Linked DNA regions of Oryctolagus cuniculus. The protein of the gene in region 2 interacts with the protein of the main gene of each other region in a pairwise test. Links are inferred from orthologs where the notes say so. Each region holds a gene or a part of one and is shown on either strand. Other genes may lie near its edges. The genes, in order: ENO3 and ALDOA.

Region 1 (3,863 bases), on a different chromosome or scaffold from region 2:
CTTTGCTCCCCAGAGCCTCTTCCCTCACTTCTAGAAAAAAGGAGGAAGTAAATAACCTCCCTGCAGAATCTGTCGCTGAAAATTAGTGGGAAAAAAGTGACAAAGATGTTTTTAAAAATTGTAAAATAATAGCATTAGTGAAACAGAATATGAAGCTCCTAGCATGCGCCTGGTGAGTGAGACAGCCAGCACTTTATGGCAGTGTTTTAAGTGCTCTACATCCACTGGCTCATTTCCGGCTCAAAACATCACTCAGCCGGGTACTGTTCCTACTCCTCATTTTCCCACAAGGAAACTGAGACAGAGAGAGGTTACACAACCTTCCTGAGACGGCTCTAAGAAACAGGCAGTCTGTCTGGCATCCATGCTCTGGTACAGTCCTCCTAGTAAGCCAGGTTCAAGGGGTCCCCACTAAGGTCATTAGTTTAATAAGGACTCCTTATTAAACTTATTAAACTCCTTATTATTAGTTTAATAATAAGGAACCCACGGGAAGGTGTGGGTTCGAGTCCTGGCTGCTCCACTTCCCATCCAGTTCCCTGCTAATGGGCCTGGGAAGGCATCGGAAGATGGCCCAAGTGCTTGGGCCCCTGACCTGTGTGTGGGAGACCTGGATGGAGTTCTTGGCTCATGGTTTCAGCCTGGCCCAGCGTTAGCTGTTGCAGCCATTAGGGGAGTGAACAAGTGGATGGAAACTCTCTCTCTGACACTCTGCCTTTCAAATAAATAAAAACGATTTCTTTTTAAAGGAGATATAGAGAAATGTCAAGATCCATGTCAAAGAAGCTGGCGCACTCACTTGGGGGATGGGGTGCAGGGGTGGAATGAGGTCAGAGTTAGCAAGGCTGGGATTGGAATGTGAAGGAACCGGGTTGCATGGCAAGGGAAGGGAAGGTTTGGATTGTGGGAAAGAGGGAGGGGTGGGGAGATTCGGTTTCAGGAAACCACTTCTTTGGAGCTGAGTCTGAAAGGTGGATTTTCCAAGGGCTGCCTAAGCACCCCTCACTGGGGGGGGGGGGGGGGGGCTCGGTCTTGGGAGTGGGAAGCTGCACTCACAGGCACTGGGAGCACGAGGTCATGGTTCCCAGCGAGGTCTGCGATGTGTCGGTAGAGCGGGACCCCCTTCTCTGCCGCTCCAGCCTTACACACGGCCAAGGACACGCCCAGGATGGCATTGGCCCCAAACTTGGCTGGAAGGAGGCAAGTGGGGAAGAAAGGGTGAGCACGTCTCTTGCAGGGATTGGGGTGATCTCCAGCCACCCCGGGAAGAGTCCCCAGCTCTAACAGATCTCTCCCCGGAGACCTGGCTGCAGGGGCCCCCGCCCCGGGGACTGTGTCTGTTGCACATTTGCGTCCACAGCCCCACGCAAGCCTGGCAGAGGGCAGGCCTCAGGAAATGCCTGTGGGATGAATACAAATCCACCCAGCTACAGTGTGCCCCGAAAAGTGGGACACAGAAGTCATGCTGGCCAGGTCTGGCTCCCGCCCCCCACACCGGTGCCTCCCCTCCCAGCCTCCGGCCCTGCACTCACACTTATTCTCTGTCCCATCCAGCTCAATCATAAACTTGTCCACTTTTTCTTGATCCACGACGCTTAGTTTCTGGAAGGGCAGATTGGCAGGGGTGGGGCAGAGGTCAGGGCATGTGTGGGAAGACGGAGAGGGGCTGCCGGGGGGAGGCAGCAGGGGCGCTGGGGGTGCGGTGGTGGGGGCAGGCTCCTCCACTTGCCTTTTCCAGCAGAGCAGGGCCTAGGGTCTTGTTGATGTGTTCCACAGCCTTCAGGACACCTAGAACCCAGCTCAATCAGGCCTCAGTCCAAGGACCGCGACTCTCCCAAAGCTTTGGGTGCCAGGCCTCTGCCCATGCCCACAGCCTCCTGCTGCACCTCTCTGTCCTCACCTTTCCCCAGGTAGCGGGATTTGTCTCCATCTCTCAGCTCCAGAGCTTCATAGATCCCCGTGGAAGCTCCGCTGGGCACCGCTGCTCGGAATCGGCCTGGGCAGGAGGTGTTAGGAGGTCACGGGAGTCCCGCCCACCCCCAAAGGGCTGCGGTCCGCTCTCCGTGCCCAAGGACAGGAGACAGTGCAGAGAAGACTGGGCCTCTCCCAGCTCCCCCAAGCCAGGCTGGAGGAAGTCTGCAGGGGTGGGGGGAGCAGAGACAGGCGAGGATGTGGCCCAGAAGCAGGGTGGGGTGGCGGTGGCCAGGTGCGGTTGGGGTCTTGTGAGGCACACCGGTTCACGGGCCCGTGTTACCCTTGGCTGTGTGCAGGTCCACCTCCACCGTGGGGTTGCCCCTGGAGTCCAGGATTTCCCGGGCGAAGATTTTCTGCATGGCCATGGCTGCAGGACAAGAGGTGCGAGCGTGGACAGTTGATCCCTCGAGGAACCAGAAATCCCTTGCCCTTTAAGAGTCTAACCCACCCCAAGAAGGCAGGTGGTGGAGCTAAAAATACCCCTCAAAAAGGTCACAGACCAAAGAGGCTGGCGCAGCCCCCTCCCCCACTCAGGACAGCTCCTGTTCCACCCTCCCGCCATTAAGGAACAGGCACCCCTCCTTTATAACTTCTTGGATTCCACTGCACCTCTCCGCGCTCCCTGGCCTTCCCCTAAGCGGCCCTTGTGCCTTCTTCCTCCCCACTGGTGGCTGACCCATGCCCCAGCCGCTCTCTAGACCTCAGATACTTTCTGGCTCTCATTCCCCTGCTCCCCAACATCTCCACGGGCTCCAGATTCTGCACCTAACTCCCCTTGGCTACCCATCCCTGCTGTCCCCTGCACACTCTCCAGCCCCGCCAGCTCCCCGAGGGGGAAAAAAAACCATGCTGAGATCTCCCAAGCCAGCACCACCCTCGGGCTGGGGGCTGCAAGGTTCACCAGACCTGGGATGTCTTCGCTGGAGTTTGGATGGAGCTCTGAGTCTAGGTGGCAGCTGGGACAGTGTCAGATCACCCCCCTCTCAGCCTGGGCATTTATCCCCGGGCCACCCTGTCCCCGGCCAGCCCCGCCCTCTCTCCATCCTCCCCCCTGCACACCAGGCTGGCAGCCAGGTGCCCACTATAGCCTAAAGCAGAAGCCTTTTGGCCCAGGGCACCTGCCCCCCTCACAAAGGTCAGGGATTAACACACCCCCTTTCTCTCTGTCCCCCAATAAAACTCCCTGCTTTTTAATTCCACGCCTTTGGGAGGAGCCGGGGAGGGACTTCACATTGGGGGGTCTTTCCCCTTTCCGGGATCCTGCTCCCCTTTTGCAAAGGTTAAAGAGGAACCAGTGCCCTTTAGAAAAGGCCATGAGAAACCTGAGCCCTGCAGGGCTGAGGAGGGGGCCTGGAAGAGGGGCTGCGGGATTGACATCCACACATGCTCAGCTCGTTTGGCCGGGCTCAGCCCTGGGTGGGGGAGGTCTAAAACTGAAGCCCCACCCACCCAGAAGGCGAGAGGGTCTCACCTCTCAGGATCCTCATAGCGGCCCCTCGCGCCTCCACCTCCTCCCGCCCTCCCCCGGCCGGCGAGGGCGTGAGGGAGGGGACCGAGGACGAATTTAGAAGCGCCCCGTGCGCTGGCGCGGCGCCGGCCAGCAGCGCCGGGCCGGCCCATGTCGCCCCGTGGAAGCCGCGGGTCCGCCCGTGGGCGCTTTGGCGCGCGGCCCCAGTGCCTCAATGAATGGCGTTGGGTCAGCAGGCGAACGCATGAATGGATGGGCGGCCCTCTGAGAGCGGCGGCCTGTTCCAGCACGGGAGGGAACGGGGTCTCCGGGTCGGCGAGGGGCGGGGGGCGGCGGCTGCAACCCCCGACCCGAAGCTCCCCGCCGCCGGCGCCGCGCGGCCCGCGCCAGGTGACTCATCCCGGCCGGCAGCACGAGCCCT
Region 2 (3,898 bases):
GCATCACACGGGGACAATGAGGGCATCAGCCCACCACGCTCTCGGCCTTGGGCCCTCCTCCCGTACCACAGCGCACCGGTGGACTCATCTGCAGCCAGGATGCCCTTGCCCGGAGCCACAATGCGGTGGGCGATGTCGGACAGCTCCTTCTTCTGCTCCGGGGTCAGCGCTGGATGGGAGTGAGGCATGGTGCTGGTAGCAAGTTCCTGGGTAAGACAGGCAGGCAGGACCGGTGAGCTGAGCCTTCCCACGGGCTGCCAGTGAGCGGGGCCCCCTTGCCTGGAGGTCAGGGCAAACGTTCCCTACCTCCCCTGCCCCACACCCGGCAGGTCCTGGGGTACTTCCTGTCCCCAGCCTGCCGCCTGTACCTGTCCTAACTCTGTCTGTTGCTGGGTGTTGCCCAGCTGAGGCTGAGGGTGGGGTTGCCCACTGGCACCCGGGGGAAAGGAAAAAGCCAGAGCCAGGGACAGGCGGGTCATGTTGAAGCTGGACCCATCTGGCTTGCGCTTTGCCATGGGGTCACCTTGCCTAGAAACAAATTGAACCAGAGTATTTTAGAGTTTCAAGGGCCTGGGCAGGGCAGAGGACCCCACCCCCTCAGAGAAGGGAAAAGTTCTGTGCTTCGACCCAGGGGCCAGATCTGAGATTAAACCCAGATCTTCGACTGCCATCTGGGCTTTGCTTCGGATCCTCCCGAGGTCCCAGGACTGACCCAGGCTCCAGTGCTTCAAGGACGTCCCAAGGTCAGGCTGTTCCCCCCAGGATGGGGGGCGGGGATTAGGAAAAGGGTGGGGGAGGGAGGTAGGAAGGTGATCGGAGGCCCAGCAAAGAGCCGCAGAGCGAGCCCAGCCCGGGGTACAGGGAAGGGGTAAGGTTTGCCCTTCTCACTGCTCATACAGGGAAAGAGTGCGTGGAGGAGCCGACAAGCGCCCCACCCCTTTCCCTGAAAAATGCTCCCGTCTGTTCGCTCGGCTGCGGCAGCTGTTCCAGGCTCAGAATCAAGGTCACCCGATAAGGAAAGATAGCAAAGTGTTAATGGGTCATCAAGCCGGGCTAAGGGGTTTCCCCTCCTAGCTGGGGCGCCCTACCTCTCGGCTGGAAACAACACCTCACCTGCGGGAACCCTGAGGCGAGAGTAAGAGCTGCCCTCCACCCCTCGCTGCCTTTGGGGACCCCCGGAGAGGCAAAGGAGCCCTAATCCTTTGCAGCCGGGGTCCCTGCAAGAATCAGGGAGGGCGTTGAGCCTCCTTCCCGTCCTGCTTCCTCCCCCGCCATGACTCAGCGCGCGGAGCTGCCGCGTTGCGCAGCAAATCGAGGGAGCTCGAGCTGGAGAGGACTGGGGGAGTCGGGGCTGGGAGCGCGCGCGCGTGTGTCGGGGGCTGGCACTGGGGAGATGCCGGGGAGGGGCGCGGATGGGGGCTCCCTGCCGACCCGTCCCTGTCCCGGGACCCTCCACGGTTCCCGGCCCTGGCGTGGGGCGCTCACCTGGCCCGGGAGGGTGGGTCTGGGCGGGCTGCAGCGGCGGCGGGCGGCGGGCTGGCGAGGGGCCGGGGGAGCGAATGCGGCGGTCGTCACCAGGACCCGCTACTGCGGCGCGTTCCGAGAGGAACGCGGCCTATTCAGCTCCCGAGGGGGCGGGGCAGGGGGCGGGCGCCGGGAGGGGCCCCTGCCTTTTAAAGGCACCGCGCCACCGTCCGCCGGGTTTTTCCTCTGCGGAGGGGGCAGGAGGCGTCCAATTGCAGGAGAGGAACCGTGTGGGAGGCCACCTCCGAGCCGCGAGGCCGGGAGGCGGCGCTTAGGTGGGTGGGTGGGGCCCCGGCGGCCGGAGCCGACGCTTCCCCCGCCCCCGTCGGACGTGACTCGGGCCACATCCCGCGGGTCGCCAGGGCCCTCCCCCCCCCCCGCTGTGTCCCCCTCCCCCAGCCTGGCACGTTCCGGGGCGCCGTGACTCAGCCGGAATTCTGGCACCCAGGCGATCGGGGGTGGGGAGCAGGGGAAAAGCGGGTGCAAGACCCGGACCAGGCCGGCGGCCGCGGACAGCCCCGCTTCCGGCCCGCGCGGTGGCGGCGTGTGTCACAGCCAGCAAAGGGAGAGGTCGGCGTGGTGGGCCTGCCTCTGGGCGCGGGGCCCATCCCTCCAGGCCGCAGGCCCGGGCTTGAGAGAGGCGGAGGCCAGGGCGCCGGGTGGATGCGCGGGGCGCGCAAGAGGGCGCGGAGGGCTGGCAGGGCTCGGAGGCGAGGCCTCTGTCCACTCGTGCCTGGCCCTGGCCGGGTGAGGCCTCCTGGCTTCCGTGCGGGGGTTCGCACCCGAGCGAGACCTCCCCGGCCTCGGTGTCGGGGTTAGCTCCCGGGCGGGGAGGGCCAACCTGGCCCGCGCCTGCGCACGCGCTCCCCGCCTGGGGCGGCCGCCGACCGCCGCCTAGTCGGGGGTGGCCACTCTAAACCAGGCTGCGCGGAAACCGACCGGCCCAAGCAAGTGTCGGGAATGCGAGCACCACAGTCCCTGGGGCCCGAATCCTTTCTCCAAAGTAAACTCCGTCCCCGAGCTGATTCGCTTCCCAGATATTTCCCCAGCTTCTTCCTCCCGGCCAGGGCCAGGTCTCCCCTCCTCATCCGGACCCCCTCGGCCCAGCCCCCCAGCCCGCTCCGTCCCCGGCTAGCGGCCCACCTGCGGCGAGGCTGTAGGAGCCGGCAGAGCCTGGTCAGCAGCGAGTGAGCGAGTCGTACCGGGGCTGGGTTATAAGGCGGCTCCTGCCCTCCCCCGAACTAATGTCCCCGACCTTCTCCCGTGACCCCTGCCCTTTCCCCGCCACGGATCCCCCGGCAGGGACCTATATTTAGGGAAACCTGAAGCCCCTGACATTCACGCCAGCTTGGGGCCCAGCGTGGGGGAAGGAGGAGGAAGCCTTGGGTCTGTCCTGGGGGAGGGGCTCCCCGCCTACTCACTGGCACTTAGAGGAAGGTTCCTCCTTGCGAGTCCAGGCTGAGGCTCCTCTTCGTCTAGAGAAACCCGTCTATGGGCTGCAATCTGTGGGGGAAGCAAAGGGGTAGGGGACTCGGGTCCTGCGAGCTCCCGCGCCTCCTGCTGGCTCCTCCTCTGCTCCCCCTCCTCCCCCAACTCAGGGCCTTGATGGTGCCGCCTGGTTGTTTTTTTTTTTTTTTTAAGAGGGAGAGCAGATGCAGGCACTGCACTCCTAAAATAACCAAGAGTGGGTGGACAGGGTGTGGTTGGGGCACCCCTACATCCTGACCCAAGGCCCAAGCTCCCCCCAGAATCTGGTGAGCTGTGCCCCCCACCCTCACCTTCAAACGTTCCAGTGTACTTGGGGAAGGGAAGAGGAGGCAGTGGAGCCCCTCTCCTGGCCCTGCAATGGAGCTGCAGTCTGGCCGGCCCAGGGCCCTGGTCCCAGGCCACTGAGCTGGGCTCAGCCATTTGCGTTTTGGGGGACCTGGAGAAAGGTGTCCAGAGGCCCCTCGGGGAGGAGGGCCGCGCGGAGCCCTGGGGGCTGGCCGCTCCCCGCAGAGGGCAGGGCCCTGGGGTCCTCATCGGAGCTTGATCTCAAAGCAGAGGCAGTTGAGGCTCTGGCAGTCCGGGAGCTGGCAGGCGCAGGCGCAGTCGCAGAGGGGGCAGCAGCTGGGGCAGCGAGGGGCCCAACCCTGAGGGAGAAAAGAGAGAGCTTGGGGGGGTGCATCAGGCGCCTCAGTCTGCCCCCCCAGGAGAGGAGGGAGGAGGGGGAGGCCTGGGCGGTCCCTGTGGAACAGAGGGTGTCACCTCCCATTGCCAACACAGCGATCCCTGCGCTGCTGAGAAATCCTGACACACGGGGTCCAGGAGCTGGAAGCGGAGACCCAGGCGTGCCCCCCTCAGACCCATTTTATGGATGAGGACCGGAGAACTG

The links.
Region 1: the proteins of ALDOA (region 2) and ENO3 interact in a two-hybrid assay, tested with the Homo sapiens proteins (2 studies listed by BioGRID and IntAct, with this or other methods). The link is inferred for Oryctolagus cuniculus from reciprocal best matches to the Homo sapiens genes ALDOA and ENO3.

What each region holds. Positions count from the first base shown.
Region 1 is NC_091448.1:51,283,674-51,287,536, forward strand, and holds the start of ENO3 (beta-enolase), read right to left. Parts: upstream 2,925-3,863; 5' UTR 2,881-2,924; exon of another isoform or gene 2,876-2,880; intron 2,342-2,875; 5' UTR 2,340-2,341; coding exon 2,255-2,339; intron 1,997-2,254; coding exon 1,901-1,996; intron 1,789-1,900; coding exon 1,730-1,788; exon of another isoform or gene 1,726-1,729; intron 1,603-1,725; coding exon 1,533-1,602; coding exon of another isoform or gene 1,496-1,532; intron 1,191-1,495; coding exon 1,057-1,190; intron 1-1,056. UniProt on the Homo sapiens protein: Glycolytic enzyme that catalyzes the conversion of 2-phosphoglycerate to phosphoenolpyruvate. Appears to have a function in striated muscle development and regeneration.
Region 2 is NC_091450.1:7,438,277-7,442,174, reverse strand, and holds the start of ALDOA (fructose-bisphosphate aldolase A), read right to left. Parts: upstream 2,709-3,898; 5' UTR 2,669-2,708; exon of another isoform or gene 2,668-2,668; intron 2,654-2,667; exon of another isoform or gene 1,486-2,653; intron 1,343-1,485; exon of another isoform or gene 1,114-1,342; intron 529-1,113; exon of another isoform or gene 516-528; coding exon of another isoform or gene 369-515; intron 209-368; 5' UTR 207-208; coding exon of another isoform or gene 189-206; coding exon 77-188; intron 1-76. Other genes in the region: uncharacterized protein, read right to left, coding at 3,543-3,656. UniProt on the Homo sapiens protein: Catalyzes the reversible conversion of beta-D-fructose 1,6-bisphosphate (FBP) into two triose phosphate and plays a key role in glycolysis and gluconeogenesis. In addition, may also function as scaffolding protein.